7 linked regions of the Mus musculus genome follow. Each later gene encodes a partner of the first gene's protein in a complex. Links are inferred from orthologs where the notes say so. Each region holds a gene or a part of one and is shown in the gene's direction. Other genes may lie near its edges.

Evidence for each region.
Region 2: Ppp2r1a (region 1) and Stk25 share a complex: the UniProt entries of both Homo sapiens proteins name them as parts of the core of STRIPAK complex. The link is inferred for Mus musculus from reciprocal best matches to the Homo sapiens genes PPP2R1A and STK25.
Region 3: the proteins of Ppp2r1a (region 1) and Ppp2r2a are in contact, whole or in part, in a crystal structure (PDB 3DW8), measured with the Homo sapiens proteins. The link is inferred for Mus musculus from reciprocal best matches to the Homo sapiens genes PPP2R1A and PPP2R2A. Residues at the interface, in NP_055040.2 of Homo sapiens: Leu10, Tyr11, Ile13, Ala14, Val15, Ile17, Asp18, Arg21, Ala41, Leu42, Arg46, Glu50, Leu51, Phe54, Asp57, Thr58, Tyr60, Asp61, Thr98, Val99, Glu100, Glu101, Thr102, Trp140, Phe141, Thr142, Thr178, Pro179, Met180, Arg183; in NP_002708.1 of Homo sapiens: Pro103, Gln104, Lys105, Asn106, Ala107, Phe110, Lys123, Arg127, Lys129, Pro131, Glu132, Gly133, Tyr134, Asn135, Leu136, Lys137, Thr147, Val149, Thr150, Thr151, Leu152, Arg153, Val154, Pro155, Phe157, Arg169, Arg170, Asn186, Ser187, Asp188.
Region 4: Ppp2r1a (region 1) and Stk26 share a complex: the UniProt entries of both Homo sapiens proteins name them as parts of the core of STRIPAK complex. The link is inferred for Mus musculus from reciprocal best matches to the Homo sapiens genes PPP2R1A and STK26.
Region 5: the proteins of Ppp2r1a (region 1) and Ppp2ca are in contact, whole or in part, in a cryo-EM structure (PDB 8UO5), measured with the Homo sapiens proteins. The link is inferred for Mus musculus from reciprocal best matches to the Homo sapiens genes PPP2R1A and PPP2CA. Residues at the interface, in NP_055040.2 of Homo sapiens: Trp257, Arg258, Tyr261, Met262, Glu297, His304, His340, Ala415, Lys416, Trp417, Arg418, His454, Val455, Tyr456, Ala457, Arg459, Glu460, Pro493, Asn494, Tyr495, Leu496, Met499, Phe503, Pro532, Val533, Ala534, Asn535, Phe538, Asn539, Lys542; in NP_002706.1 of Homo sapiens: Lys4, Thr7, Lys8, Asp11, Arg49, Pro51, Val52, Thr53, Glu67, Phe69, Arg70, Ile71, Gly72, Gly73, Lys74, Pro76, Asp77, Thr78, Asn79, Arg106, Tyr107, Arg108, Glu109, Arg110, Glu277, Leu278, Asp279, Asp280, Leu287, Phe289.
Region 6: Ppp2r1a (region 1) and Stk24 share a complex: the UniProt entries of both Homo sapiens proteins name them as parts of the core of STRIPAK complex. The link is inferred for Mus musculus from reciprocal best matches to the Homo sapiens genes PPP2R1A and STK24.
Region 7: Ppp2r1a (region 1) and Strn4 share a complex: the UniProt entries of both Homo sapiens proteins name them as parts of the core of STRIPAK complex. The link is inferred for Mus musculus from reciprocal best matches to the Homo sapiens genes PPP2R1A and STRN4.

Annotation. Positions count from the first base shown.
Region 1 is NC_000083.6:20,951,608-20,956,007, forward strand, and holds part of Ppp2r1a (serine/threonine-protein phosphatase 2A 65 kDa regulatory subunit A alpha isoform), read left to right. Parts: intron 1-3,007; coding exon 3,008-3,108; intron 3,109-4,180; coding exon 4,181-4,400. UniProt on the Homo sapiens protein: The PR65 subunit of protein phosphatase 2A serves as a scaffolding molecule to coordinate the assembly of the catalytic subunit and a variable regulatory B subunit.
Region 2 is NC_000067.6:93,622,620-93,626,257, reverse strand, and holds part of Stk25 (serine/threonine-protein kinase 25), read left to right. Parts: intron 1-49; coding exon 50-207; intron 208-291; coding exon 292-477; intron 478-612; exon of another isoform or gene 613-651; coding exon 652-797; intron 798-1,109; coding exon 1,110-1,224; intron 1,225-1,633; coding exon 1,634-1,705; intron 1,706-2,725; coding exon 2,726-2,862; intron 2,863-3,638. UniProt on the Homo sapiens protein: Oxidant stress-activated serine/threonine kinase that may play a role in the response to environmental stress.
Region 3 is NC_000080.6:67,026,908-67,031,307, reverse strand, and holds part of Ppp2r2a (serine/threonine-protein phosphatase 2A 55 kDa regulatory subunit B alpha isoform), read left to right. Parts: intron 1-2,277; coding exon 2,278-2,443; intron 2,444-4,400. UniProt on the Homo sapiens protein: Substrate-recognition subunit of protein phosphatase 2A (PP2A) that plays a key role in cell cycle by controlling mitosis entry and exit. Involved in chromosome clustering during late mitosis by mediating dephosphorylation of MKI67.
Region 4 is NC_000086.7:50,839,908-50,844,170, forward strand, and holds the start of Stk26 (serine/threonine-protein kinase 26), read left to right. Parts: upstream 1-1,463; 5' UTR 1,464-1,639; intron 1,640-1,771; 5' UTR 1,772-1,886; coding exon 1,887-1,928; intron 1,929-4,263. UniProt on the Homo sapiens protein: Serine/threonine-protein kinase that acts as a mediator of cell growth. Modulates apoptosis. In association with STK24 negatively regulates Golgi reorientation in polarized cell migration upon RHO activation.
Region 5 is NC_000077.6:52,115,524-52,119,923, forward strand, and holds part of Ppp2ca (serine/threonine-protein phosphatase 2A catalytic subunit alpha isoform), read left to right. Parts: intron 1-962; exon of another isoform or gene 963-1,239; intron 1,240-1,474; exon of another isoform or gene 1,475-1,485; intron 1,486-2,463; coding exon 2,464-2,637; intron 2,638-3,145; coding exon 3,146-3,235; intron 3,236-3,619; coding exon 3,620-3,781; intron 3,782-4,400. UniProt on the Homo sapiens protein: Catalytic subunit of protein phosphatase 2A (PP2A), a serine/threonine phosphatase involved in the regulation of a wide variety of enzymes, signal transduction pathways, and cellular events.
Region 6 is NC_000080.6:121,288,418-121,292,512, reverse strand, and holds part of Stk24 (serine/threonine-protein kinase 24), read left to right. Parts: intron 1-396; coding exon 397-533; intron 534-4,095. UniProt on the Homo sapiens protein: Serine/threonine-protein kinase that acts on both serine and threonine residues and promotes apoptosis in response to stress stimuli and caspase activation.
Region 7 is NC_000073.6:16,821,888-16,826,287, forward strand, and holds part of Strn4 (striatin-4), read left to right. Parts: exon of another isoform or gene 1-340; intron 341-608; coding exon 609-712; intron 713-1,118; coding exon 1,119-1,192; intron 1,193-2,251; coding exon 2,252-2,330; intron 2,331-4,400. UniProt on the Homo sapiens protein: Calmodulin-binding scaffolding protein which is the center of the striatin-interacting phosphatase and kinase (STRIPAK) complexes.

The DNA of each region.
Region 1 (4,400 bases):
AAGCAATCGAACCTAGCTTGAATCACAGTTTCAATTGTTAGTGTTGACCTTAGATAAGTTTAGCAGATTATTTTTTTCATTCTAGAATGAAGATAATCTCCAATTTTTGTTGTTGATTTGAGCATTAAAGAGCAATAATCATTAACTTTTATTACATAGTTGTCACATGCCAACTGTCCACTGGATTCCTGTTTTGTGCTACTGAGTTAGCGTGTATATTAGAATGGTGCCTATACTCTTAAATGTCCATCTCCAGTGCCTTTCATCTCAGTCTCACAGCAACACCTTAAAGTATCGAATGCTACTGTTGCTGATCTGTATGTGAGGAAGTTGAGGCATAGAACGATGAAGTGACTAATTTCCATCAGATTTTTATGTTTGGACATGACTAAAGGAGATTTTATATTTAGGCTCCATAGTTAGCAGGGTTAGTTAATTGTGCAGAATTGGAGTCTGATTTCACATCTCTGCTTTCCTGACTTCCTTTGGTATGACTTTGGGCAAGATATTTCACATCCATCTGCTTCAGAGGGTTCATGGGTAAGACAAGCATGATTCTGTAACTTAAATGAAGACTAAGGCTCCTGTGAAGGTCCAGGGACAGGGCAAGGCATGTGGTAAGTGGGCTCAATTAGCTCTTACCAAGTTCATTGTACAAAGGTGCACACCAAGTACTTAGTACAGTGGCGGCCATGGTGGGAGCCACCTTACTAAATTTCCACTGTCATTATTCTCATGTTACTCCTGCTGTACTCGTGTCTACTTAAGAGTTGGAACTAAAGATTCTAAGTGCTATTTATTACGGACAGAAGTGATTTGTATTTGATAATCTCCTGTAGATGACCTGGAAGAAGTGATAGGCCAAGGCCTAGTTGATACATGGGTAGCTGAGACCTGTGGAGATTCAGTGCTTTGTCACATGCTACAGCTAATGACAAGTTTACAGGTCTGACTACACATAGTCTCAAGAGTAGGTATTTGCATCTGACGTTAGCATGTGGTACCAAACCAAGTGTCTTCCTTTGATGAACTATAAGAGGGAGCCAAAAGATTTAGGATTCTGACACAGAGACAAGTGTTGGAGTAGCAGGCTGTTGTGATAAGTAGTTACATGAAAAATTGGTATAGGGGAAAAGCCATTTAGCCCTAGGTTTGAAATGAGCTGCTATAACCTTATCCCAGGAGTGCCCTCCACTACTTGTGCTCAGCTCATTAGTTGAAAGGCTGTTTTACAAGAAGTGTAGATGTATAGTAAGTGCTGTGGGTGATTCTGAGAGGATTGAGCTGTGCAGCTGAGAATAACCAATGTAAAGGACTAGGGAATGCAAGTGGCATGAAAAGGCTATCAGGAATAGGGACACTAGGAGAGCCACCTAGGGTTGCCTTTTACTGCCATTCTGTACCATATGGAGCCTCTTGGGTTTAATCCTGTAGGTGGACATGGTGCTGAAATACAGAGGGAGTCAGATGCAGCAACAGTGTGTATATAGACAGAGTGTGTGAGGGGAGGCACAGATGTTGCAAGCCAGTCGCCAAGGTAATGTCTGAGAACAAAGCCCCTGTAGCCAGAAGGCCATGGTTTAGGCCTGTCTTGCTCTTCTCCTTCTATTGTAATGTTAGAAATCACAGTGTATGTGTGAGTTACTATTGCAGTTCTCTAAGTAGGAAAATACTCTCCAGGTGTATTATTTAAAAATTGCAATTTTTTTGAGAGAGAGAGAGAGAGAAGAGAGAACAAGGAAGGGAGGGAAGGAGGGAGGGAGAGAGAGAGAGAGAGAGAGAGAGAGAGAGAGAGAGAGAGAGAGAGAGAATCCAGATAGGAAGAACTGTGGGAGCCTGGAAGTGTGGGCAACCAAAGAGCTCTTAAATTCTAAGTAATGTCAGATTTCTTCTGCTCTGAGCTCAGACACTGTTTAGAACAAGTGGCAGACACATTTCTAGACCAGTGATAATGTTTCAGCAAGCACAAACTGAAGACCTCTGAGCTCATATCCATAGGACATTCAGCTTATTTTTAAAATGTATTTATTTTATGTGTGTACCCTGTCACTCTCTTCAGAAGAGGGCATTGAATTCCAATACCGATGGTTGTGAGCCAACATGTGGTTGTTGGGAATTGAACTCAGGACCTATGGAAGAACAGTCAGTGTTCTTAACCTCTGAGCCATCCCTTCAGCCCCTCAGCTAGTTTCTTGAGGAAAAAAATCAACAAACGTAGTTTTCTAGGGAAAGGCCCCAGGCTGGGCATATTCAACAGCTGTGTTTTTGCTGTTCTTGAATCTGGAAGTGTGAGGTTGAGGTATCAGTAGCCTTAGTCTAGGTTTCTCCTGAGGCTGTTCTGCTTAGCTACATCTTGGCAAGTCCAAGGTGGAGAATGCTAAAATGCTGATGAACAGCAGATGAGGTCAGCGTTTTCCTCAGCAGAGGCAGGGCTTGAGAGAGAGGCCTTTGAGTTTGGGCAGCAGGCTTAGTTTCCCTGTCATTTCATTCACATGCCATTCTAGTTCTGGCAGGAGCTGGAGCATGCCAAATCTAGTCTTGGGCACAGATGATCAAAGCTCCTGATAGGGGTACTTAGTAAATGTGGTAGGAGGGGGAGAGAATGAGTTCAGGAAAAGGATCTGACCTAATCTAGGTGCTTGGAATCTGCAAGAAGCAGTATCTGAACCAAGCCCAAAAGGGTAGAAAACAACTTCTTGGCTGAAGACATAGCTCCTGAAAGTGAGTTCCTGCATATTTAAAGCTCCACTGAACATCCTGTGCTGCATACATGTGCTCTTTTTTGTCCCTGTTGAGAAGAAGCCACAATTAGGATTAGAATAGTTGTGCTACTCAGCTACCATCCCACACCTAGCATGGGGCAGAAAAGGCAGATATGGGGCTTGGGCTTACTCTGCTCACCAGGTAGATGGTGGAGAGAAATGGCAGGTTGGGAGATAGGGGTGCTGACATCGAGGAAGCTTGGGTTGTGCTTGAGTTTTTAATGGACTTGATCTTTGTTTCACAGATACCATTTATGATGAAGATGAGGTCCTCTTGGCCTTGGCTGAACAGCTGGGAACCTTCACAACTTTGGTGGGAGGGCCTGAGTATGTGCACTGTCTGCTGGTGAGTGAAAGCTGTGAAGTCTCTTAATCTCCTCCTCCACCTTGGGGTTAGAGAGGTGGTTCTGCTATGGACACCAAGAAACGGGATTTAGGAAGGCTAAATAGGACCTCAGAATGAATCACCTTTGGATGTAACTTTAACTCAAGTTAGTAGTGTCATTTAATCTATACTTGCCTTCCATTCTGCATACTTAACCACACTAGGACTCAGTAGCACTCTACCTGTAGGTTGTGAGTTTGGGTCATGCAAGGTTCTGTTATTTACTGGTATGACTCTGAAGAGTACAGATCTTTCTGTCTGCCTGTGTAAATTGGAGGCCACTAAAATCCCCTCTGATAACTGACCTACATGCCCACAAACAATACTTTGTCTATAGTAAGTATTCACAGTTAGGTGTTGTGATTGTCATGGTTGGGTAAGATGTGTCATCTACCATTTTGGTTTGGAAGGTTTACTTGATGGATGAACCACATAGAATATCAGGAGGTTAAACCATCTCATCTGGGACTCTTACCTAGTAAATGACACAGATGAATTGTCAAGATTGTCTGCTTGATTGCACCAGGACCCGTATGGCATGGTATGGTACCATACCATACCATACCATACCATACCATACCATACCTTACCATTCAACCTCTGTTGAATGACAGCTGGGAACACAGACAGAATCTGATCCTGACAGGTCCTGCTGTGTAGAAAAGGAGAGCCAAGTAATCATGGCTGCTAGCAGCTTAGGCAATTTGCATAACCTGTGTACTTCTGATACTTGCTCTTTGATTAATGAGGGCAGTATTAAGACTGTTTTACAAGATTCACATAGAAGGTGTGATAAAAAGGTGAGCAATGCAATAGCCTTGCCTAGTTCATGGGTATTGAAGCCCTATTATCAGTGTTTACTGTACATTGAGAGCTACACACATGGACCTCCTGAGAGATTCTTATAGGAAGCTTGTTATCCCAAGAATTTGGGTGAGAGATCAGAGGAGTCTCCAGTCAGGCCATGAGGTAGGGTTCCACAGTGGAAACAGTGAGAAAAACACTGGTTTCTAACTTTGTGTTCTTATTACAGCCACCCCTTGAGTCACTGGCCACAGTGGAAGAGACAGTAGTGCGAGACAAGGCGGTAGAATCCTTGCGGGCCATCTCTCATGAGCACTCACCTTCCGATCTAGAGGCTCACTTTGTGCCTCTGGTAAAGCGGCTGGCGGGTGGAGACTGGTTCACCTCCCGCACCTCGGCCTGTGGTCTCTTCTCAGTTTGCTACCCCCGAGTATCCAGTGCCGTGAAGG
Region 2 (3,638 bases), on another chromosome or scaffold:
GGGGGGCTGTGGAGCCAAGGATGATGCCCACCTATCCTGTATTGAGCAGCTGCCAACGTGCTGCTCTCGGAGCAGGGTGATGTGAAGCTGGCAGACTTCGGTGTGGCTGGGCAGCTCACAGACACACAAATCAAGAGGAACACATTTGTGGGTACACCCTTCTGGATGGCACCTGAGGTTATCAAGCAGTCGGCCTATGACTTCAAGGTGAGTTCTGGATGGGAGGTGAGAGTATACTGCCACCACTCAAAATGTTTCACGTAGCAACTGTCCTGTGTGATAACTCTCTAGGCTGACATCTGGTCCCTGGGCATCACAGCCATTGAGCTGGCCAAGGGGGAGCCGCCAAACTCTGATCTCCACCCTATGCGAGTCCTGTTCCTGATTCCCAAGAACAACCCACCCACATTGGAGGGCCACCACAGCAAACCCTTCAAGGAGTTTGTAGAGGCCTGCCTCAATAAGGACCCACGATTCGTAAGGCCTATATCCACTTGGGCCACCCCAGGCAGCTGAGGGGTTTGGGGAAGTTTATGAAGGGAGGATGTAAACTTGGTGGGACAGGGCCCAGCCTTCACATCCTTACCTGTCCTTCCTTGTGTCTTTTGTGAGGGTGGAATTCAGCTCTGACTTTGTCTGTCTCCCTGGCAGCGACCCACTGCCAAGGAGCTCCTGAAGCACAAATTCATCACACGATACACCAAGAAGACCTCCTTTCTCACTGAACTTATTGACCGATATAAGCGCTGGAAGTCTGAGGGGCATGGAGAGGAGTCCAGTTCTGAGGATTCTGACATGTAGGAATGTTTTCTTTTTTTCTTTTCATTTGGACCTCAAGAGCTCCCTGGTGCTTGATGCCAGTGGAGGTCTTCTCTCCAGAGGCAGGGCTTGGTTACTACAGTGGGAACTTGTACTGGGCAGGGAACCTGTAGGCTGGAGGACAGGGCCTTTTGACTATCACCTAAATGCTGCAGCCTGGACAGAGTTCTGTCCACTGTCTAGGGCATCCTAGGCTAAGAGGCTGCCTCAGAGAAATGAGATGTACCTTGGTACCATGTTTACTTCCTGCCCTTTCTCCATCAGTTCTTCTGATTCTTTATCCTCTTTAGTGATGGCGAGGCTGAGGATGGGGAGCAGGGTCCCATCTGGACGTTTCCTCCAACCATCCGGCCAAGTCCACATAGCAAGCTGCACAAGGGAACTGCTCTGCACAGCTCACAGAAGGTCTGTTCATGCCCTGGGCCAGAGCACTGCCCCATATGTACCAGCCCGCCTCACTTTTCCTGGGGCAGCAGATGTGGACTACTGTGTATCAGGCTTTGATGAGGTCAGCTCCAAAGTGCCTGTGACCTAGGGCTATATTAAACACTCATTATCTGGGGTTTGGGCAAAAAGTTTGAGAAGGACAGGGCAGAGTGGCACTGAACTATCTAGGAGTCAGGCTGAAGCCTGGGTCTGCTGGTGCTTAGGTACAGACAGGCCTGATAAGAACTGATGGCTTGGGCTGCCTTGTAGTTTTTGGAGTTGACCCCTGGTCTGTGCTCTGTCATCCTGCTCAAGACAGATTGAGAAGACAGGAAATGGAGCCTCTCTTTATCTCCACATACCCAGTGTCTTGCTTTCCTCCTTGCAGCCTGCAGAGCCTATCAAGAGACAGCCAAGGTCCCAGTGCTTGTCCACACTAGTCCGTCCTGTCTTTGGAGAGGTGAGAATAGAGCTAAGCCTGTGATCATGTAGGGCACTGGCTTTGTTCTTTAGAGGTGCTGTCTGCAGAGCCATGGTGTGTGGTGTTCTAGTGGCCGTGAGCCTGGACGTTATCTATTTGATTTCTGGGTCTGTTGCAGCTAGTTATGCACAGGCTTGTGGGTCCAGCTTCCTGAGGATTGTACCATAAAGCGCGGGAGGAACTGACCTGACCAGTACCGTTTTGTGTTCCCAGACCTGCTAAGGTCCTCTGGCATTACGGCACTACTGATTTTTACAATGCCTCACCACTACATGATTCTTTCGTAGAGGAAGACAAAGGATTGTTGGGTCAGACCTAGGTCAGGGAGGTGATTCCTTGGTGGCTATATGACCTTATGTCATTGTTGCCTGATGTTAGAATATTTTCAGAAATACAGTGCGGCCAGGAATGAATGTTCACATACGGATTTGAAGCTAGAAAGTAGATTGTAGACAGTAGGTTGTTCACTCAGTGGGTGACAATAGCACCTAGAGCACAGAGACGGAGGACAGGATGTAGTTGAAAGGAAATAGCCGAGTGTTTCTCCCTGAAGAGAGTGAGTGACCTTAGCCAGAATAGGAGCAGCCACTTAGGGCTGTGTTGTGAACACTGTGTAGTGTTGTCCAGGACTGAGCAGATGACTCCTTAGGGAAGAGTACATGCAGGAGTTAAAGTCCCAGAAATGGTTATTGACACTTTATAGTCTGATCTGGGATGTCTGTCAAAAGTCCTTGTAGAGTACTCAAGAGTTTCTGTGCCAGTTTCTAAATCAGACTGGATCCACTTGATTATTTCTTGACCTTCAGTCTGTAAGAAACCACATGGTTCTGACCTCTTGATAACCCAAGTCAGGGGAGAGAGGATCCTCAAGATGGAAGAGCCACAAGAGTCCCCATCAACAAGGCAGAAGTGCACTACCTGTGCAGCGCTGTTGTGCTTTCTGTAGGTCTTCCAAGTCATCCAGGTAAGATGCCAGTGAGGTCCATGCTCTCTTTGCAGCTCAAAGAGAAGCACAAGCAGAGCGGTGGGAGCGTGGGTGCCCTGGAGGAGCTAGAGAATGCCTTCAGCCTGGCTGAGGAATCCTGTCCTGGCATCTCAGACAAGCTGATGGTGCACCTGGTGGAGCGTGTGCAGAGGTGAGCACAGTGCGCCAACCCAGGAAGATATCTGCATGGGGGTACTGACCACAGAATGAAGCCTGGGACTCATTCTTGGGAGCAGCTGGTTCAGTCCTCCTTTGTCAGGGTTAGCATGCTCTCTCATTTTTGTCTTTGGAGTTAGAGAGGCAAGTGAGCCTTTTGTGGCTTTGAATTATGCATGAAGGTTGGACCCTCATTTTCGGGCAGTGTCTGGACAGAGTTCCCGTGGCAAAATGGCTCAGTGACACAGAGCATTGTGTGCAGCTGACTTCTGACCTTTCTACTTGGTGGCTTCCTAGAGGTTCTGTGTCCCCCAAACAGCATGGATGCTTGTAAGCCCAGGGTGTGCCTGCTACTGATGGGGAGCCCTGAGCTGACACATGCCTGTGAAGGGACAGGCAAGGCAAACACTGAGTCTTTCGTGGAAGCCCCTCAGGCTCAGGGTTCCTGAGCTGTTACAGGCAGATGTACCAGTTCCTCCTCCCTTACCCTCTGGATCCTGCCCTTGCACGCTGAGAGAGGCCCACCAAAGTTTGGTCTAGTTGACACTGATTTTGAAACACTAAGGACATCTTCCATCCTGTGATATGCTGTTGGTAAAAATGCTGTGAACTGCCGGGCAGTGGTGGCGCACGCCTTTAATCCCAGCACTTGGGAGGCAGAGGCAGGCAGATTTCTGAGTTCGAGGCCAGCCTGGTCTACACAGTGAGTTCCAGGACAGCCAGGGCTACACAGAGAAACCCTGTCTCAAAGAAACAAAAACAAAACAACAA
Region 3 (4,400 bases), on another chromosome or scaffold:
CTAAGTCCTTTCTGTTGCAAATGCTGTTTCTCAGGCAGAACCTGAAGGCTCCTACATTCCAGACACTACTAGTACAGGTGTTGAGGATAAGCCACTTGTGACTCTGTTGGGCAAAATTTTACGCATAATGCACATGGTAAAGAAAATAGATTTTTGTGGTGCTCAAAAACTAAGAAATTAGGTGTATTAAAAGGCCATGCAAGAAAACTGAAGCACAGAACATGGTCAAATGTATGAGGGCTATTTTATTTCATTTTTAAAAAAGATTTATTTACATGAGTACACTGATGCTGTCTTCAGACAGACCAGAAGAGGGCATCAGATACCATTACAGATGGTTGTGAGCCACCATGTGGTTGCTGGGAATTGATCTCAGGACCTCTGGCACCACTGAGCCATCTCTCCAGGCCTCATTTTTTGTTTTAAGTGAATCCCAGAAAGTCACGTGACGTTGATGTGTGTTGAAGGTAACACACTTTACCTTTTTCTTTTTCTTCATACTTTTCACGTCGTGGGTTCATTAGAGAACAGCTGCCATGGTTGCTTAACCTAAGCATTGGTTCTTCTGTTGGAGGAAAAGCCCAGCTGGCTGCAAGCTCACGTCTGGAGTCTGAGGGGTTTTGTTTTTGCTTTTTCAGTGCTAGGCCATCTATTCTATTACTTTGTCTTGGGAGTGAGTTTCTCTTCTGTAGTGTAGTGGCATGTGGCTTCTTTTAACCTTAAGATACTATTTTCTGGTGTAAATATTTTTCCCTTTAGGGAAAGGATGTTTCTTATAGTTGCCAGACTCCTAGTGGTTGTTTGTTTGTAGTATGTTTTTGTAATAGATTCAAATAGATCAGGTGTGGACCTTGTGTGAGATTCTTGAGGAATCTTTGATGGTATCCTGATTCTGTTTCTGAAAATTATGTTTTCATAGGTTTATGGTTTTCATGAAATAACTCAATGTGTAGCTTCTCTTGTACACTGGGTACTTGAAGGGTAGACTTTTGATATAGGGGATTCTGTTCCCTTTAAGCCTTAGATATTCATAGTACTATGTATCATTGTTTAAATATGATCTTAAAAAATAATAGTAACTCAATTGTAGATTCATTTATTATTTCATGCAGCTGTTTGGGTAAATTTAGGTGTGTAAGACTGACAACATGTGATGTTTGAGTATACAGAAAAAACAAATACATTATGGAATTTGACATGAGTGTGGCACACCAACACACCCCATAGTTGGATATGCTCTTGGTATGTTCTGAAAATGTTTTGACCAGCCCATTCACTAATGACTGATGTATGCAAGAAGAAGTGAACAGTCCGGCTGCATTGCTAGAAGAAACAAACCAAAGCACATGTTTCCAAGATAATTTAACAGGTTTCTTCTGATGTGGACGAGAAGATGGCTATTTTGCTAACTATAAATATTTTACTTGATAACTTGGTTTTCATTAAAGTGATTACATACAATTGTATTTTCATTTAATCTACTTTTCCAAAGATTCTAGTAAGTTTTACTTTAATTTTTTTATGAAAGTATTTCCAATTGTATAATCGGTCACAAGATGAAATTGTGTGATTATAATTCTTAGTTTTGCTAGGCTACCAGTGTTAATGGAAACACTTCTCAAGTAGTGTTTATATCAAATCCCTTCAATTGGACGATCAGCAGACTGGCACTAAGCATCAGTGTGTAAAGTTCCTGTGACCAGAAAGAACTCAGGAAAGTAAGCCATGAAGCAGTTTCAGGCAGGCATTGACAGGCTGCTGTTATATACTTAACTGGCAGCAACGTTATCTGAAGTAGGACTTGGATTGTTGGATTTATGAGAGCACATTTCTTACGGGCTTTTCAGTAGTGAAATATAGAAAGGAGGCTTCAGAAAGGACAAGAAGGCCAGCCATCACATTAGATAACAGCAGACAAAATGTGTTCCAGCCAGCTGTTTCTGAGCAGTGTCTTCCTAATTTTAAAATTTAAATGTTATCTATTACTATGGGTTTTCAGTTTTCTTCTTAAACAGTATAACCATGCTATTTAATATGCAAGTTAATCAAATCAGTTTGTATTTGGTCTACTGTTTCCCTATTAAATGAGACTTTCTTAAGTGTTTCCTTCTTACTCTTTATAAAGCTTTCTCCTTTAAGGCCTTTAAATACAGAAAACAATACAGTAGCATATACGATAAAGCAGCCTAGTTGGGGTATCTACAATTTTCAGTCTGTTGGAGTTGATTGTGATTTGATATATTTCTCAACATAGTCCAATATTTTTTTCTGTTGTAGAACAAAATCCAGTCTCATAGCAGAGGAGAATACAATGTTTACAGCACCTTCCAGAGCCATGAGCCAGAATTTGACTACTTGAAAAGCTTAGAAATAGAAGAGAAGATCAACAAAATTAGGTGGTTACCCCAGAAAAATGCTGCCCAGTTTTTATTGTCTACCAACGGTAAGTGTTCCTCTTTTGCTTTCAGGTACTACATGGGCACATGTCCTGTAGAGGATATAGGCCCTTCCCTGTACTGAATGTAAAGTTATTTCTACCTGGGCACGTGTCCTGTAGAGGATATAGGCCCTTCCCTTTACTGAATGTAAAGTCTACTACTTTTGCTTCTCATATTGTTACCTCGCAAATTTTAGATTTATGGGTACTACTAACTTTTATTTAGGCTGGTTTTATTTCTGTCTCCTTTGGCTGACCCTGAATATTGACTATTCCTTACCAGCAGACATAGGCAGCAGTGTCTGAGTTACAGCACTGTTATGAATATTTTACATGGTAACTTGGCAGGTAGAACCAATGCTCAGAAAAATGTTTATTTCCTTTCCACTTCCTTTCCAACTCTACAGAGGATGATCTCTAGGAGAGCACCCTCCTTCCTTAACTTTGCTTGTTACTTTCTTCTCTATGAGCCGCAGGAGTTGGAGAAGAATCTTCTCATTAGTTGTACTCCTGTAAGGAAAGGTATTAGAAAGAGTTAGAGCTCTGTGAGATGTTGACCAAATTTTGAAGTTCTGCATGATAAATTAAGAGTTGAGGGTGTGTGTGTGTGTGTAAAATGTGACTTGGCTTATCAATCAGGACCTTGAGATTGCAGAGGTGGGTATGATACTTGGAGATCTGGGTGTATGGTCTATTAAAACTTTCAGTCTGAAATCTCACATTTTCTCATCTAACTATTAATAGAAGCAAATCTTAGCACTTATGTCTTTCTGTTTGCACAGTGTATAGACTCATGACTACTTAGGGTAACACTGTGGGAGATGTTTAGAGCCCCCTCTGTGCACTCTTGTACCCTGTGATTTTCTGTATTGAGTTTATAGGAATGCAGTGCATAAAGCATTGCCACTCCTGATTCCATGCCTCGTTGGAGACCCATTTTCTCTCAATTAAATTTCTTGACTCTCTGCCTTCCTCTCTTTTTACATAAATGGTATTTTCTTTGTATTTATGAGGCAAGGGAGGTAATGAAACAGTAGCCCAGGCTAGCTTTGAAGTCTTGATAGCCTACTTCTGCCTCCCAAATCTGGGCATGCCCACTGTATCCAACTTCACCTATTTCTGAAAGCAAGTAACATAACCAGGCTGCAACGCACGGCATGCTTGGCAGAGGCGCCGGATGACAGCTTCTCTGAGGTGCTTCAAGTAGTACTTTAGACCCTTGTGTGTGTGTCCATGTGCCTGCATCAAGTAATAACATAATTATACTATTTTTGATTTTGTGGGTTTTTTTTTTTTTTTTAACTTTTAGAAACAAATGTCCCTGGGAAATGTGTTTTACATTGTAGAGTTTGTGGCTTTGAATGTTTGTTTTCACAGTCAGGGGCCTTATACACAGCAAGCTAGGTAGATACACTACAGTCTCTAGAAGTAGTGGTTCTCCCCACCCCTCACACCCTTTTTTGGAGACAGGGACTCAACCATGTAGCCCAGGCTTACCTGGGATTTGCAAAGCTCTGCTTCCCCGTTTCCTGAGTATTGGTATTAAAGCCATTCAGCATTATACCTGGTTACCTACCTACTTACTTACCCTGCCTGCCTGCTTGCCTCTCTCCCTCTCTCTGTCCCTGTCCCTGTCCCTGTCCCTGTCCCTATCCTCTCTCCCTCCCGCCCTTCCTTGAAGTAGATTCATAGTTTCATGTGGCGGTCTTGAGTTTATTTCCTAACTCAAGCAAATTTGACCTTGGGATCTTTCTGCCTTAGCTTTCCCAGGTTGAAATGACAAGCTTGGGCCACAAGGCCTATTTCATGGCAGCTCATTTCTATTTTTACTTTTTACTTTTTCGTTTTCTTTTTTTCTTTTTTTTCTTTTTTTTTTTTTTTTTTTTTTGGTTTTTCGAGACAGGGTTTCTCTGTGTAGTCCTGGCTGTCCTGGAACTCACTTTGTAGACCAGGCTGGCCTCAA
Region 4 (4,263 bases), on another chromosome or scaffold:
GCAAGACCATGTCTCATACAAACAAACAAAGTAAACAAACAAGCAAACTTTTTTTTGAGGTCTCTGTGGACATTACAGGTAGGTGGCACTGAACGTTTCTGGGTAGGCTATTGTAGAGAATGACTTGAGCTGGTGAGAAATAGACATTAGATCAGGGCCTACCATTGGGTAGAATAGAGAGAACGCCAAGGCTTGGAGCACTAAGAGTAAGGTAAAATCAATACCATATTTAATATACTTCTACCATATTAATAGAAGGTAGTATGTGGCAGGGGGGCCCAGATTGGACTTCTCAGATGTATTGCTTTTTAATTGCAATATTTGAGTCAAATATTTACTTGGCTGAGCCTTTTGATCTATTTGCTCAGTGGGGAGAAGGCAGTGTGACTCAAGTGAGCGCTTGTCACAATAACTCTTTACAATATACAGAGGGTAAATTTCGGGATCTCTGGGGCAATGAAAACGAAATCTACTACTACTACTAATGTTGATAATAACCAGATACTGTTCTTGGAGAAAAAAATTATTTAAAAAAGAATAGCATTTGTTGAGTGTGCATTGGTTGCACGGGCATCTGGCAAACTTCAAGGTGAGTTCTCATTTTACACATTTACTTGGATCTTATTTTGTCCTGTAACCTTTAGTAGCCCGGGTGTTCACATAGGTGCTTCCCTGAGACTCCTGTGACTGCTATTATTATCACTGTCATTATTGTGTTATTGGGTCCTCCAGAAAGGGTCTGCCTCACTCCTGGAGTTGAACTTAAATTAGAAGAAGGCAGAGAGTTGCAGAAGTCACTGTGCTGCATGCTAAATTCAAATATCTATACTCGGAAAGATGTAATCTCATGCTCCTTGCCTCTGTTATCGTTGTTAAGTTTTCTGCCAATACATGATCCGTTTTCCAATTTGCCTCTCTTTTACACGCGCAGAAATTGTGAGCAATTTCAGCCAGGCCGTTCCTCAACTAATAGCCTAAGGTAAGGACAGACTCAGGTTAAAGTGACTTGAGGCATATCTAAGGGCAAGGAAGCTGAAAATTGCAAGAGGGAAGGAACTTAGGCGTGAAGGAGCAGGTGTCTGGCTCGGTGGCCCCACCCTTGGCCAGGTGGGGGAGCCAAGCAAAACTTTTGCAACTCCAGACCTCTGGGAGGCTACAAGCACCCCAGCCTCGCAAGCCTGTCTGCAACGTGGCCGCATTCATCCGGGTTGCCCTCATCTCCCCTACCCCACTCCCGCAAACTCTTCTGTTCTTTCTCCAGGCTCGGTTATGTTCCAAGTTTTTCGATCCCGATCCCGCCTTTCTGCTGCTCTCCGCAACCCCTGAGAGCCCCGAGCGTCTCCAACTCTGGCTATGTTAGCCAACCCCCTTTGCAGCCTGAAGCCTCAGCTCCCCTGACACCGCCCGGCAGCGGGGTGGAGGCAGGGCCAACCGGGGAACCGCCCCCAGCCGCCTCCCAGCCTAAGCGTTCGGGCGGGTTGCTGGGGTGCCTCCACCTCCTCTTCCTAAAGCGGCGAGGCGCAGCAAAGCGGCATCACTGGAGCCCAGGTCCCAGGCACCGCCACAGGTCAAGCCCTGCATTCAGGAAAGAGAGCAACACTGCAGTTAGCCAAAAGCCAGGCAGGCGAGCGGCAGAGAGGTAGGTAAACTGAGTCCGGGAGAGCAGCGGCGCGAACCGCTCACCTCCCCGCAGGGGGGGGGGGGGCGGAATGGGGGGAGTGGAGGCTGCAAGCCACCAGCCCACTAACTCCACTTCTCTGCGTCCTTCCAGGCCTCGATCGAGAAGCCTGGTAGAGCTGCAGAGATACCTCCGTAGGAGGAGCCAGTCTCTGCCGGAGGCGCCACCGCCACCACCGCAGAAGCAGCGCGAAGTAGCAGTCGCCACCATGGCCCACTCACCGGTGGCTGTTCAAGTGCCTGGGATGCAGGTGAGGAAGCCCAGGCCTCCCGTGCCGCCCACGTGACTGCTCCGAAGCCCCGCTTTGGGCACCAGGCACCAGGGACCAGGGCAGCCACGGGGCAAACCTGAAGGCAGGGCCGGATCTCTCACCAGGTGACCCCGAAGTAAAGCTCGAGGTGTTTCCTGGCGTCCGGGCTAGAAGGTGTTTTGCACTGGAGAGATTGAGGCGACTGGGGAGAGACTCAGTTGGTGTTGGTGTGTGTGTGTGTGGGGGGGGGGGGAGTACACGTATAAAAATAGGCCAGAACCTTAGGCACCTGTACTTGTTGGCTTGTTAATCGTGGCACAGTTGAGGATTCAGCGTGGGGGAGTCCCAGAACTTAACCTCGATGAGATAGAGGCGTCCTGGAATGTGTGGGCTAAAACACCCAAGAGGTGCCCCCACACGGTACACACACAGAGGTTGGGGCGGAGCGAGACCAGGAGTGGTGGAGGCATTGAATTTGGTTCTTCCTGTGTGCAAAGACAGAAGAGCAAGATGCCTTCTTTTCCCCTTTGGTGCCACTTAGAAGCAAACTTCTATCACGCTCCCCTACCTAGCTCAGTGGGTAGTGTTCCAAGGACTGCAGGATCCTGTTCTGAGGGCCTAGGTAATGACTCCACATACCTTTCTCCTTGTCTGTCTGCTAAGGTGGTTGGTACACGTACTTAAGCTTTTGTCCAGCGCAAAGGGGGAAAAAAGTGTGGGACCCAACATTTTACTCAAAATCCATACAGTTCTCCTCCCATTATACTATCGTTTCGTTAAAGAAAATTATGTCAACAAATGTTTTACACATCTTGTTGTTTTTTTAACCACTCTTAACTTTTTAAAGCATTTACATTTGGGGTATCCCCCATGGCAACCTAAATAACCCTTTATGAGTTATAAGTCAGAGGCTAAAAACACTGAGACTGGGTTCCTTATGATCTTCTAACTATGCTAAGTCAAACAAACAAATTATTTCAAGTTCTGAAATGTGGAGACCACTGCATAGCTTACGCTTCTACTAGGAGTCCAAACTTTGTGAATTGGAGTCTCTGTCTACTGCCGCATGTGCTGACTGGTCTCATTGTATTTATGATAAAAATAAAAAGGTGCTTTTAAAAATATCCTTTCTCCTCAAAGGGGTCATTTGTACAGGACATACATGTCTCCTGTATTTAAGGGCAGGTCTGGGTTGAGACTCAGGAAGGGGAGGGAAAGAAATGTAAAATAGAAAGAGTGGGGCTTTTTGTGGTATTAATCCATTTCAGTTTTTCCCAGTGCCCCAAACTTTTTTTTCCTCATGCATTCTCCATCTCTGGCTCTCTTTTCCCTAACTGCTCTGCCCCACACGCCATTCATTGAAGTCTGACTTTGCTTGTATCTGGACAAGTAGTAGTTTGCAATAGGAACTGGTTTTGCTCTGCCTGGTTTGGAACGACACGTGAACTTTCCCCCTTCGTGCACAGCTTTCTATTATGTGGAGACATAGAACTTTACATATGGCTACTGCTCAGAGGCTCCATGCTTCTCTCTCCATTGTGAGCAGGCGCCTGCCTGCATGCGGCCACACTGGTGCCTCCCCTTCATCAACTTTGTGTGATTCTGGGCTACTCAGTGTGATCACCAGAAAAGGGTTCCTGGTCTTTATTTCATTTGGCTTGACTTTATTTGATTTATGTGGTTTCTGGTCTTTATTTAATTTGTTCTGACTTTATTGGATAGAGATGGTTTGCTAAGTGCTCACCGTTGAGCATTGTCACATTGCTCCTTGCTTTGTTTAATTATGGGAGCTAGCTATCTCTTGGATTTTTAGATCTTAATTAAGGTGGGTTGAAATGGGAATCACATATTTGAAATGATCAACTTTGCCTTGCATGGTGTGCCTTCCCCAAGTTATTAATTTGTCAGTCCTTAGCTGTACAGGATAGTCATCTCACATTCAGCAAGCAAAGATTATTGATTCTTGCTCCGCCACTTTCCATCTAAGTGAAGTAGCACGTTATCCAATTATTTTCATTTTTATTTCTAGATGTAGTTCTTAAGCACTTGCTGCAACATTTAAAGAAGACAGCTTTTCCATCTTTGAAATTATACAGGGACCTAAAACACATTCACAGCATGCAGCATGACCCTTTAGCCTAGAATAGTTTTGTTGTATTTCCCAAAAACTATAATGTAGAAATATATTCTGGGATCATAATGGTCTCCTATAGTTTTGTTAGAGTTAGAAGCAAGCAACTTTTAGGTTGTTTAAGTAGCAAGAAATCTTGAATTTGCCATGTGTTCTTTAAATTAATGTGCAATATTTCCCCAAATCAGGGTGGAGTGATTGACT
Region 5 (4,400 bases), on another chromosome or scaffold:
AGATTCATCACTGAGCTATAGCCTTACTTCAGATTTTAAACATTTTTGCAGTTGCTTGTTAATTTTGTGTAACACTGTGTGGGTACAAACATACCACTAAATATGTCTTGTAGTTAGTTATCTCCTTCCACCATATGGGTCCTAGAAATCAAACTGGCAGCTAACAGATAAAATGTAGCCATATTGTGTCTTATGACTTGGGCTATCTTGGGCCAGTGAGATGACATAGTGAGTAAAAGACAGTTACCACTAAACCCGATGACCCGAATTTGAGCACTGGAACCCACATGGATGAAATGAGAGGACACATACGTGCACTCACAATAAATGAAATGTAATTTTAAAATCAGACTTGGTGACAGGCACCTTTACTGTCAGTCATCTCATAAGATAGGTCTTATTTTTATTGTTGTTGTGTGGTGGTTCTGGGGAGTGTTGTTTGCGTTGTACAGTCTCTAAGCCAAGGCTACCCTCAAGTCCTCAAGTTGGTTGCAGTCTTTGGGGGAGGGGGCTTGAGACAGGATCAGGCTGTAAGAAACCTCAAACCCTGATCCTTCTGCTTCTCCCAAATACTAGGATTATAGACATGGACCAGCATGCCTAACCTTAGATAATCTAATTTTATTTGTTTGTTTATTTCTTGACATTAGTTCACATTTAATTATTACAGCCACTGACTGTAGTGGACTATTAACACACCTTCATTTACATTCTTTTTGGTTTTTCGAGACAGGGTTTCTCTGTGTAGCCCTGGCTGTCCTGGAACTCATTCTGTAGACCAGGCTGGCCTCGAACTCAGAAAACCACCTGCCTCTGCCTCCCGAGTGCTGGGACTAAAGGCTTGTGCCACCACGCCCGGCTTCATTTACATTCTTGATTAGAGTGATTATCACCTTTTTGGGTGTTCTGTGACAGTGGCTTGGAGCCTGTGCAAAGCACATGGAGGTCTGAAAATCTTTCAGTTACAAGTTGGCTAAAGCAAGCGTCCTTTCTAGTTCCTTTAGCTGCATATTGCCTTGGGTAATCATCATTGTATCCTCTTCTATGGCACTTTTGTTTCTTTTAAATTCTTTCCTGGCCCAGTCCTAAAGGTATTTTTAGTCAGAATCACTTGGAACTTGCCTAATCGCTCGCAAAATCTTTCTGTAGAGGAGGAGAACTTGCTGCCTTCTCATGAACTGCTTCAGCGTCAGGGCCGCAGGAGGCAAGCGGGAAGCCGCCCTGTTGCCTACCGATAATCTGATTTTAAATGGGCAAAGTACTGAAGGGCTACTTCATACTAGAGGGTACATGATGGCTACTTCATACTAGAGGATACATGATTAGTAAGGACATGGCTAGTTAACATCATTAGTTATTAGAAAAATCTTACGTTAAAGTCCCAAGTGCCAACTTCACGTCGGTTACTAAGACAGTGGCTGCAGTCCATACCAAGTGTCCTGTCAGGAATGTGAAACGAGCTTTAAGCTCTCACCTTACTCTCATCTCTAGCCCTCCTTCTCTCTCTTCCTTCTCCCCTCTCTCCACGTGGCCATGGCCGGCCGGCCTCTTTCTTTCTACCTTCTCTCTTTCTCTCTGCCTTTCTACAATAAAGCTCTAAAACCATTAAAAAAAAAAGGAATGTGAAATGAGTTTGCCACTTTAAAGAATTGGTGAAGTTACATATAAATCGATCATGTAGCCCAATAGCTACACTCTAGGAATATGTTCAAGAGAAAAGAAAGCATGTGAGCAGATGAGCTCAGTAACTAAGAAACAGGAAAACTGGAGCAGATACAGGAACCATGGGTTGTGGCCTGCCCTCCCCCGATGCTAGTGTGCAGCTGTGAAAGGAGCACACCCTCATCTGTGCTGTAGCATGGTGACTCAGGATAGCTCGCGCTCCGTGGGATATGCAGCACAAGAAACACTAAAATTTCTAGAAAAGTCATTCTCAAGACAGAAATAAATGAGTGGTTGTCCGGCTGGAAGAGTGGGGCCATTGCAGATCGGGAAGGAATCTTGGCAAGACTCTAAAACTGAGTTATGGTAATTGTTGCATAACTAAATTTAGTAAAGGTCAGAAAAAAGTATGATTTTTATTTCACACAAGATGGTGCAGGGGGTTTGGTCTTAATTGAGATATTGGTAAGCATTTTATAAACCTTTAATTAAAAATGCTTATAATCATCAGGCTGTGGTAGCCCATGCCTTTAATCTCAGAGCTCAAGAGGCAGAGGCAGGTGGATCTCCTTGAGCTGAAGAACAGCCAGGGCTACACAGAGAAACCCACCCTTGAGAAACAGCAACAGCAGTTTTAAAAAGTTTATCATCTAATTTCAGTTCATTGAAGTTTAGAGATGTGCACTCTCAGCCCCTCCTCCTCTCAGTTGGAACTCTGGATTTACCTATAGAAAGTTGTATGAAGTGTCTTGCTTTTTGTTTTTTTTGGAAAGAGCTGGCATCTGTTGTCGTTTTCTTTAGGTTCGTTACCGAGAGCGCATCACCATACTCCGAGGGAATCACGAGAGCAGACAGATCACACAGGTTTATGGGTTCTACGACGAGTGTTTAAGGAAATACGGAAATGCAAATGTTTGGAAATACTTCACAGACCTTTTTGACTATCTTCCTCTCACTGCCTTGGTGGATGGGCAGGTGTGTGTACCATAAAACTCACTTCTGGGTTTCTTCCTGTTTCCAATAATTGTTTTCTTGGTGTTTAGCAGGCAGTGATTTTCCATTTGGGGATACATTACTAAATACTGATAAGTTCTTTTCTAGGTGCTGAACTGTCAGGATAAGATCATGGGGTGGAAAATGTAACCTATTCAGCTTTGGGGGCTCTTTGTAGAGGGGTCTGGGAGATGGAAGGCATTGTTTACCAGTGTGAGGGGGACTGTCAGGCTCTGGAGGGACTGTGGGTAAGCTAGAAAAACACTCTTTAGAAGGAACCTCAGGGATGGTGGTTGGTCAGGAACAGGAATAGATACTGTACTCTGTAGTTGGTATTAGGTCGAACAATAGCCAGTTATTCAGGGTCCATCCTCATCGAAACAGAGCCTAGAACTGATGTAGCTAAATGGTGTCAGCTCCTGTCTAATGTGTAGTCCAAAGAGTTCAGTTTCTCTTAGGTGTAATTAGCACTTGTAATCAATCTTTTTAGATCTTCTGTCTACACGGTGGTCTGTCACCATCCATAGACACACTGGATCACATCCGAGCACTCGATCGCCTACAGGAAGTTCCTCATGAGGTATGGCTGACAAATTCTCAGACACTCCTTAGGAAAAACAAAAATCGTTTAGCTGTAGCATAATTTATCATATGTTCACTCGGGTTTCAAAATGAAATGACATGAGCTCCTTACCATTGCTCATTAGACGTTTAGAAGCCTTCCTGGTCGTCACCACTAGCCCATCTGTCTAATAATAAAACTCAGATACACGGGCAGATGGGGCAAGTTACTGAGTGCAGTGTGCCTTGTGGGAATTGATTTTCATTTCAGAGATACCTTTACTGCAAAAGTTCAGCACACATACTAAGAATGTGATTTTTGTAGAGTGTTGCTTCTGGTGAATTATCAAATGAAGAATTCCACATTTGGAAGTCAGTTTAATAACTTATACCTGCTTTTTAGGGTCCAATGTGTGACTTGCTGTGGTCAGATCCAGATGACCGTGGTGGCTGGGGGATATCTCCTCGGGGAGCTGGTTATACCTTTGGCCAAGATATTTCTGAGACATTTAATCATGCCAATGGCCTCACGTTGGTGTCCAGAGCTCACCAGCTGGTGATGGAGGTATGTTCTTTTCTTGAAACCTGTCAAATTAACTGTAGTAACTGAAGGAAAGGAGTTTGACACTGATGCTGTCAGCAAGATGTCCTTTATTCCTAGAGTCTGCCATGGGAGCTAAACCCTCTTCAGTAGATGGACAGTCAGAGGAAAGTCAGATCCATGGCTGATAGTGGGCATCCACTTAATGACTCGGAGGGACTTGGGATTAATGATGAAAGGATGAAGATGCAGAGCGAATGAGGAAGGGTATAATATATCGCAGTGGTTTATTTCACATTATCTAGTTTGTTTCTTTATAGGAAAAGAAAGAAACATCAAAATGTTGATGCCCTTTAGATAACTGGCTTGTAGATGATTTGAAAGAAGCCTTTCCTCTGGTAGGGGTCTTACCTTAAAACATTGACTGCCATACTTTGAGAATGAGATGAGAACATGGAGCATTCAAACTATGGCAGTGGGCAATCTCTTATTCTATAAGAGTTTGTTGTCAGTACTGATGGTCAGCCAAGTATAGTGGTGCATGCCTCATTAGTTCATTAGTTAGCTAGTTTGCTGGTTGGTTAGTTATTTAGGTGGCAGCTAAACTGCCTTGTAATCCAGACTAGCCTAGACTGTACAGTGA
Region 6 (4,095 bases), on another chromosome or scaffold:
GTTTGCACCCAGCCCATAACCATCAGGAACGAAGCTTTGGTGACCCACACTGTAGCTGCCCAGTGACGCCACAGTTGTACATGTAGGCATTGATGACACTTTCAGGGGTGAGCAGAAGGCTGCACAAGGGAGAGAAAGTGGTGGAGTGTTCATCAAACTCATGTGTGAAGGTGTGCAGTTACCTGCCTGTGTTCTGGTCTGGAAGAGTCACTGTGTATGTAACTGCTTACAGAGACAGAAGATGAGGACCCAGAGTGACTCGTGAGCCACAGAGCTCATACTGGGCCCTTGTCAGCCTGGCATGGCAGTGTTGGCAGGGCCTATTTGTCTCTTCCTGGAGTGGTTGCTGCCCAGCCCTGTGCCCGTGTATGACACTGCTCTTGTGTGCATTTCCAGCTGAAAGAGAAGAGCCAGGCATGCGGAGGGAACTTGGGGTCAATAGAAGAGCTGCGGGGAGCCATCTACTTGGCGGAAGAGGCCTGCCCTGGGATCTCAGACACTATGGTGGCACAGCTTGTGCAGCGGCTGCAGAGGTAACCGGCCCTGGGCTGGGCTGGATTGCAGGAGGGGAGCCTGGTGGTGCTGGCACGGCTTCTTAGACTAGGAACTGTCACAGACTGCACCTTGGTATATCTCTGGGGTTTTTCATTCTTGCTCTGTTGTCCCTTGGGCCATGGGCTTCTCCTGAGGGAAAAGTCTTGTTCTGAATTCTACAAATGGGAGACCTGAGTCTGGAAAGGAACATGGAGCTTTGTATTTGTAGCCGTTGCCAAAGAAATGCAAGATGCCTTAAAACACCTACATGCAGCAGTCTAAAGAGGAGAGAGAGAGAGAGAGAGAGAGAGAGAGAGAGAGAGAGAGAGAGAGAGAGAGAGAGAGAGAGAGAGAGAGAGAGACAGCCTCAGTCACACCAAGATCATGTTCAGATACCAGGGTCTTTGGTGTAGTAGACTCAAAAGCCCTCCTTAGAACATTGCTTAGAAACCTGTGCTCTGGTGTCTAGGAGCTACCTAGCTCCTGTCTCTACCTCGTGGCTTTAGCCACGTAGCCTCCATGTTGAATAGACATTACTGTTTGGCATAAAAAATAAAGATGGTTTGCTTGTTGGCCCCCAGTCTTGAGGCCATTGAGGAGGAGACAATATCTTTTTAAGATTGCCCTGATTTGAATCTTAAAGGAAACAATGTGTTACAGTGTAAAGGAAAAGACAACTTTGAATTTCCTTGTAGTGGCATCAGATTTTCATTTAAAAAGAGGTTTGTCACGAGCAAAGCAGAACCACACCCAGAAAGGGTGTCTGTTTATTATCCTGCATTCTGTTTTCTGCTTGGAATAGTAAGGTGTCACTTGTGCACTCTGTGATGTGTGCACTCTGTGATGTGTGCACTCTGTGATGTGTGCATTTCTGTGATGTGTGCACTCATGTGTGCACACTGTGGTCAGAGATCCGAGGACAGCTCTCAGCAGTTGGTTTCCTTCCACCCTCTTTGAATTCAAGGATCTAACTCTTTTGCAGCATCAGGCCCGCCTACAGTCAGCACCTCTGACCTGTCCCCCCACCCCCACCCCCCAAAGCCTGCCATGTTGGCAGCCGGCCTTGGCCTCCATGTAGCTGGGCTCAGGCCCACCACACAGCTTTTGTTTGTCACCTTCAGGAGTTTTGCATGTGGTCCAGGGTTGCCTGATGTTGTATGAGTGGCTGGTAAGTACGACTTGATTTCCCTAGTAGCTCAGGCACAGGTAGTATGATGTATGTATGCCCAGTTGGTCCTTTTCTTGTTGCTGGATCTGTCCCCTGCTGAGGCACCTAATCTGCCAGCTCTAGTAGAAATGTGATAGTGTAAGACCCCCTTTCGGGGACCCCCACTCTAGTCTCGGGAGTGTGAGAGCACCCAAAAAAACACGAGGACCCAACTCGCTGTAATTACATGAGGACGTTTAATTACGGAGCTCCGGACCAGCATGAATCCCACACAGGAGATAACAGATGCCGGCCACGAGGCTCGAAAGCCAGGGGCTTTTATGGGGTAAGGGGCTTAGGGGTGTGGAATTCAGCATAGCGACGCACTATTGGCTTATTCAAACATTAACAGAAAGAACACAGTGCATCAGGACTTTGTTCCTGTGGGCTGGGGGCTTATCTTTGTTCACTTAACAACCAGTTGATGTATATGACTTTACTCGGCGCCAAGGGGTAACAGAAAGGAGGTTCCGGCCAGATGGTGTGAACTTAGATAATGTAGCCCCATTTGTCCTTGAATACCTTTTCATCTTTACGGCCAAGATATTCTTTGGAATGCCTTATCAACAGCCATGCCTTGGCCTGCCTGGGGGCTTGTTCTGCTTTGTTCTCAGTCCCAGATGGGGCAGTGGGCTCTTAAACAACTCACAAGTTACAATATTTTATCTTCCTTCAATAGGAGCCAGAGGAAGAATTTCAATTACTTTAAAAATATTTTACTGATTATTATTGGGAGGGTACAGGTGTGTGGTGCATGGAGTCCTGTCTCTCCTTCTGCCTTTCTTCTGGTTCAGGGATCAGGATTTGCTGCGAGGCTCACACAACAAGCACCTTTACCTGCTGGCCCCAAATGTGAAGATTTTGGATATTTGTTTCTTAACATTGAAAGTGCCCTGTCTGTCTGTCTGTCTGTTTCTCTGTCTGTCTGTCTCTCTCTCTGAATTTTTGTGGTACTGGGGATTTAATTCTTGGTCTGGAGCATGCTAGGCAAGTATTCTACCACTGAGCCGAGTCACCCAGCCTTCTCACACACAGAATTTTAAATATTCTAGAAACTATATCAAGAACATAAAGAGGAGCAAGCAAAATTAATTTTAGTAATACTTTGATAATTTCCTGTATCAGCTTATAATAACAGTTATCTAGTAGGATATTTTACATTGTTTTCCTTGGTATTAAACCTTTGAAGTCGGTATGGTGCATTAGCCATCCTTGTCAATTCAAACCTAGATTTCAAGTAGACACTCACAGCCTTTTGTTCTGAGTGGACCCTCCTACAACATCAGATGATTAAGTGGCAGGGTCCTGGTTGTCTCTGCAAACATGGCTATGGCTTTGCACCTCCCCTGGGTTCCAGCAGCCAGGGACAAGGCTCAGCCAGTGCCTGTCTGCTCCCAGGTGAGCTGTATTGGACGGTCTCTTCAGAAGTCACTTCTGTCTGAAGTGTTTTCAGGGCGTCTCTGTCTTAGTCTGAATTGGCTTTGAGATCCTTTAGTGAGCACAGCTCATTCACTCACAGCAGCAACTCAGTGCATAATGAGCCGATTGTAGTTCTTGACATTTGAGTCCTGGATGCTGTGGCTCGAGTAAGCTGCTAAGAGGATCATACAGACCTGTTGGAGTATGTTCAGTGTATCATAAAAGCACCTCTGCATGCAGTGTTGGAGGTGATGTTCCTTAAATATGTCCTTGGCCTCAATGCTCATGTAGCATTCAGAAGCAAGACAGTGTATGCCGCAGACCCTCTGGGCCCCTTTGTCTGCGTGGAACGGGTCTCTAGTCGCAGGTGGGCAAAGCGTTGGATGGAATGACAGACAGATGCAAGAGAGACAAGAGAGGTTGTGTAGAATCTGAATGTAATTTGTCAAATCGAGCATCAAACTTTTTATACAGAAGAAAATAAGGAAGTTGGGTGACACACCCGCAAGGTACAAAGAGGTTACTGGATTCTTTCACAAAACAGAGAAATACAAACACAGAAGGTCTAACAGGAACCACCTGTGATAGAATTCATTGTTAACAACTGGGATCAAAAAGAGCTCCACCTAAGATCCACTTAATCTTAGAAACCAGGGTCAAGGGCTTCGTGCCCTTGCCATAGTTCCTATTTTAGTCTATTGTATAGTCCACCTTCCCCCTAGGCCATTGTAAATGTATGTAACTCAGCTATCTATAGTTCTAAGTATCTACTCTGGTTCCTCCTTAGGTCTCAAACTTCCTTCTTCCTAGATGATGGTAAATTCCTGTGTAGGGCAGTGACTTAGATTTTGTTCAAAGTGATAGTGTAATACCAGAGGCAATTTTGAATGTCACTGAACAGGCAACATTTTTACTGAATTCCAAGCCCATGGTCT
Region 7 (4,400 bases), on another chromosome or scaffold:
GCTTGACAGGAACCCGTAGGTCATGTCTGTGGCACATCTTCTCATGCCTTGGGCAGCATAAAGCTTGGAACAGCTTCTTCTGCATTGCAGTGGGAGCTGAGCCCAGCCTCCTACTCCTGTCCCCGAGTGCCAGAAGTAGCTTCCTACGCTTCCCAGCAACAGATGCTCTGAAGGAATAGTGGGACACCACCTCCACCAGCAACCATAGGGACAGCAGCTGATGGGGGGAGAGAGGAGTCCAGGGCTGTTAATACCCCCAGCACCATCCCTGACCTAACTCCTCAGAAGGCTACAGCCAAGTCAGGCTCTGCTGTCCCTGTTGGAACTTCATGGGTTAAAGGTGACTCCTCGGCCTTTTTTTTTTTTTTTTGTAAAGGTAGAGTCTTAGCCCACATTGGACCTGAACTCATAGCAATCCCTAGGGAATGCTGAGATTATAGACTGAGCTCTTTTATGGGTGACATACCTAGAGACCTTGGAGGTGGGTCCAGCATGTCATCTCTTCTCACTGAACCCTGACATCGATGTAGGGGAGGGGTTGAAGCTGTGTTTGAATATGGAGGGAGACAACCCCTGAACCTGTTGTCCTCCCTTCTTTTCTGTCCCAGGCTCAGGTGGCTTTCCTCCAGGGGGAGAGGAAAGGCCAAGAGAATCTAAAGACGGACCTGGTGCGGCGGATCAAGATGCTGGAGTATGCACTAAAGCAGGAGAGGTGAGCCCTGCCCCTGCTAGAGAGGTCACTGTTCTGACAAGGTGGCAGGCTGCTAACTACACTTCTGCTGGCAAAGGAAGTTTCTCTACTGTCCTCTTGCTGTCATCCCTAGGAGTATAAAGGAGCTTCTAGTGGGTGGGATTCAAATGGCAGCAGCAGCATTGTGGCTTGAGCACACCTACTATGTGCTCCAGTTCTGCACAGCAGCTACCTTGCTTATTTTTGCCATAGTCTGATGGTGTTGCCGTCTGGGAAGGAACTGAGACTTCAGGAGGAGGGGAGACAGCCTTGAGAATTCTAGAACTGATGCTTGCGGCAGGGAGCTGATGAGGGAGGCCCCGGGTTTCCTGAGGTGGTCCCTTATCCTGTTTGTTCTCCTCTCTCAGCTCATTTGTTATTCTTTTAGGGCCAAATATCATAAACTGAAGTTTGGTACAGACCTGAATCAGGGGGAGAAGAAGACAGATCTGTCAGAACAAGGTACCCACCCTTGCAACTTCCTGCGGCCACCCCAGCAGAGCAGCTGCTTGGCATAGAGAAGTTGCACATGGCCATAGGGTGGGGTAGAGTTGCAACCTCAGGGGCTCTTCCCACCAGTTCTGTGTCAGACTGTGTCCAGCCTTACCTGTCTGCCATCTTGCTGTCCTCCCAAGGACATGATGGATGGCCCAGCATCTCCTGCATCCTTTTGTTGTGAGAATGAGTGTAACTATTTATGGTGTGCTGTGGAAAGTCTAGGAAAAACTTCATTGAAGAGGTAGTGTTTGCACTGGGTTGTCATTCAGTCATTTACACTAACCCCCCCCCCCCACCTCAATTAATATATGAGGTGCTGGCTTCTTGTCATAGAGCAGGGCACAGCAGAGAGCAGAATAGATGTGTGCTTATTCTGTGGGCATTGGCAGCTTAAGCTTCTGGAAGGAGGAAACAGATGTCCATGGGAGTGCGGGAATGTTTTCGGGTGACACACTAGTGTCTAGTCAGGTGGGCCCAGTGGCAAGGGCACCAGTGTGCACGGTTGTGCCAGTGATGTTTGGAGCTTGGTCCTGGGGCTCTGTGGAGTTCTTGCCTACAGGGCTAAGTGAGGTCTTCCTTTCATGCCCTGCTACTGAGATGTACGCTCTTGACTGGGATGGCAAAGGTACTCAGCCAGGCCTTATGGATAGATGAGCAATGCATAGAGTTAGCTTCCCAGCCAGCTCACCTATAGCCGCTACCCTCGGTTCTCTCCAGCCTGCTTGCTCATTCTCTAGAGCTAGACTACCCACTCCTTGCATAAGAAAGCAGCAGCCAGCCGTGCATGTGGAGGCACAGCTCTGCTATTCTTGGCCGTGGTTGGCAGGGGCCAGTCAAGAGCCTAACAGGAGAGCTTCCAGGAGAGGAGTCACTCGGAGGGGGAGTGTGGGTGGAGGGGACTCAGGAAATGGGGACAGGCCTGTGATGGTGGCAGATTCATTCAGACTTGATATGAGAAGATGGAGGGGTGACTGGAGAGTGTCCATGCCCTGACTGAGACATCTTCCTCTTCTCTCTTTTTAGTCTCCAATGGCCCTGTAGAGTCGGTCACACTGGAGAACAGCCCATTGGTGTGGAAGGAGGGTCGACAGCTTCTGCGACAGTGAGTGATGGGAAGGGAGGGACAGGATGGGACATGAGACTTCACAGCATACTTGGCTCAGGAGATAGGCCCAAGGAATCCACAGTCCTTCTTGTCCCCACTGGGACATGAACTATCAGTATTCCACCCAGACACTCAGTGGGAAATAGAGGAAAGGCTTGCAGCAGGGGGCACCCCCTAACACTCCTCCCCCCAAACTTGACCCTGTATGCCTCTCTGATATTTCCTTTTAAAAGAGTAGTGTTGGGGTAAAATATTTTTAACAGTGAAGTTAAATGATAGCAGTAGTAGTACCTGAGTGCTGTGGGCTCAACCCAGAGAAGATGAGCTCTACTGGCCTGCCTTCTGAGAGGTGAGCTGGCCTGCCTCCTGACTAGAGAAAGGCTTCAAACAGAATCAGAGGTTCACCAGCCTCTAACCAAATCTGGATTTTTTTTTTTCTTACTGTAAAGATTTTAGCATTTTAGGATATCTGAGAAGTAAATAATCTTATTTCTGAGGAAATGTGGCCCTGTTCACATTTGCATCTTTGTGTCAATCTCTCTTTTTTTTTTTTTAATTGTATTAGAGCTTTATTGTAGAAAGGCGGGGAGAAAGGAGAGAAGGGAGAGAGAGAGAGAGAGAGAGAGACCGGCCATGGCCACCTGGAGAGAGGGGGGAAGGGAGAGAGAGAGAAGGAGGACTAGAGAGTAAGAGAGGTGAGGGCTAAAGAGCTGTGTCAGTCTTAATATTTGGAGAGGTACTGTGAGTCCCTCAAGTGGTGTGCTCCATGATGTGTAAGAGCCAGGACTGGTTTGTTTGTTTGTTTGTTTGTTTAAACTGTCCCTGTGGTTTGTAATGCTTTTACTAAGTATTGTCAATTCCCACATATAGATCAGTCAGATTATGTAAAGTTAAGAACTTAAAGGAGTGGAGTGTATGGCTTAAGGGCTAAGTCCTTAGTTACTGTGGACCAGGCCCTAGGGTCCATCCACAGCACTACAGAAATCACCACTATGTAACAGGGACCTTGCTGGAAAGCCACAGATCTCCAGAGCCAATCCATCCTGAGGTGCTGTGTTGAGAGCTACTTTAAAACTTGAGTCTAAGACAAATGACAGAACTCAGGAAGCCGACCTTCACTGTCTTCAGTTCAGTATCTGCAAACCACTGCTAGTTTAAGTGGGCACAAATAACCCCAGAGGGCTGTAAAACAAATATTATGGGAGCATGGGCCTGCCACTATACTCATGTCTCCCTGTCCTCTGGTTCCCCATAGTCCCTGTACTGTGTAACTGCTGACTTGCCCCTGGTTCTCACTGGTGCCAAGAGCATTTGATAAATGCATGGAGGGCCATAGTGAGATCTTAGGCAGTCACCCATAGAGCCCGTTTTCCAGATTGCCAGGCTTCTCCGCCTCTTTTGTTCCCTGGGCCACATAAGGCATTGCAGAGGCAGGAGAAGCAGAGAAGGGCACAGGCATCCAAAGGGTCCTGCAACAGAGCAGTGAGGCAGTGTTGTCCCTTAACCCTGGAAGCCGCACATACTCAGGATTGACTTTTTGATCTTCTCTTCTTTTTCTTTTTCCTTTAGGCCAGTCTCAGCTGGCTTCAGTTTTTTAAGTTGCAGAAGTAATAAATGCTCAGGTATAGAAGTAAGTAGACCTCAGGCTGCGGATGTAGCGCAGCGGTAGAGCGCTTGCCTCGCATGCTCAAGGCACTGGGGTCCATCCCCAGTACTGCAGAAAAAAACAGTGTACTCTTGTGTCCTGTATCCTCCCCTGCAGAGGTCACTGTTGCTCAGTTTATGTCTGTCTAATAGGCGTCCAGGAAGCAAGCATAAGGGTGTGTCTGTGTGTGATGAGAGCATACACACACCATCACACTCTTCTTTGCATTTTTATAAAACTCGGAATCGCGTGGGAACATGGAACATCCGCCATGTTCACTGTGCTGCTGGTCATAGCCATCTCTCTGTGGCACTCTGCCTTTGTCACCTTCTGCCTAGCGTCCATCAGTGGACATCTGGCTGTTCCTGCACGTGGGCTCTCTCCTACATGTTGGGGACACCGTGTGCCATAGCAGCGTGCAT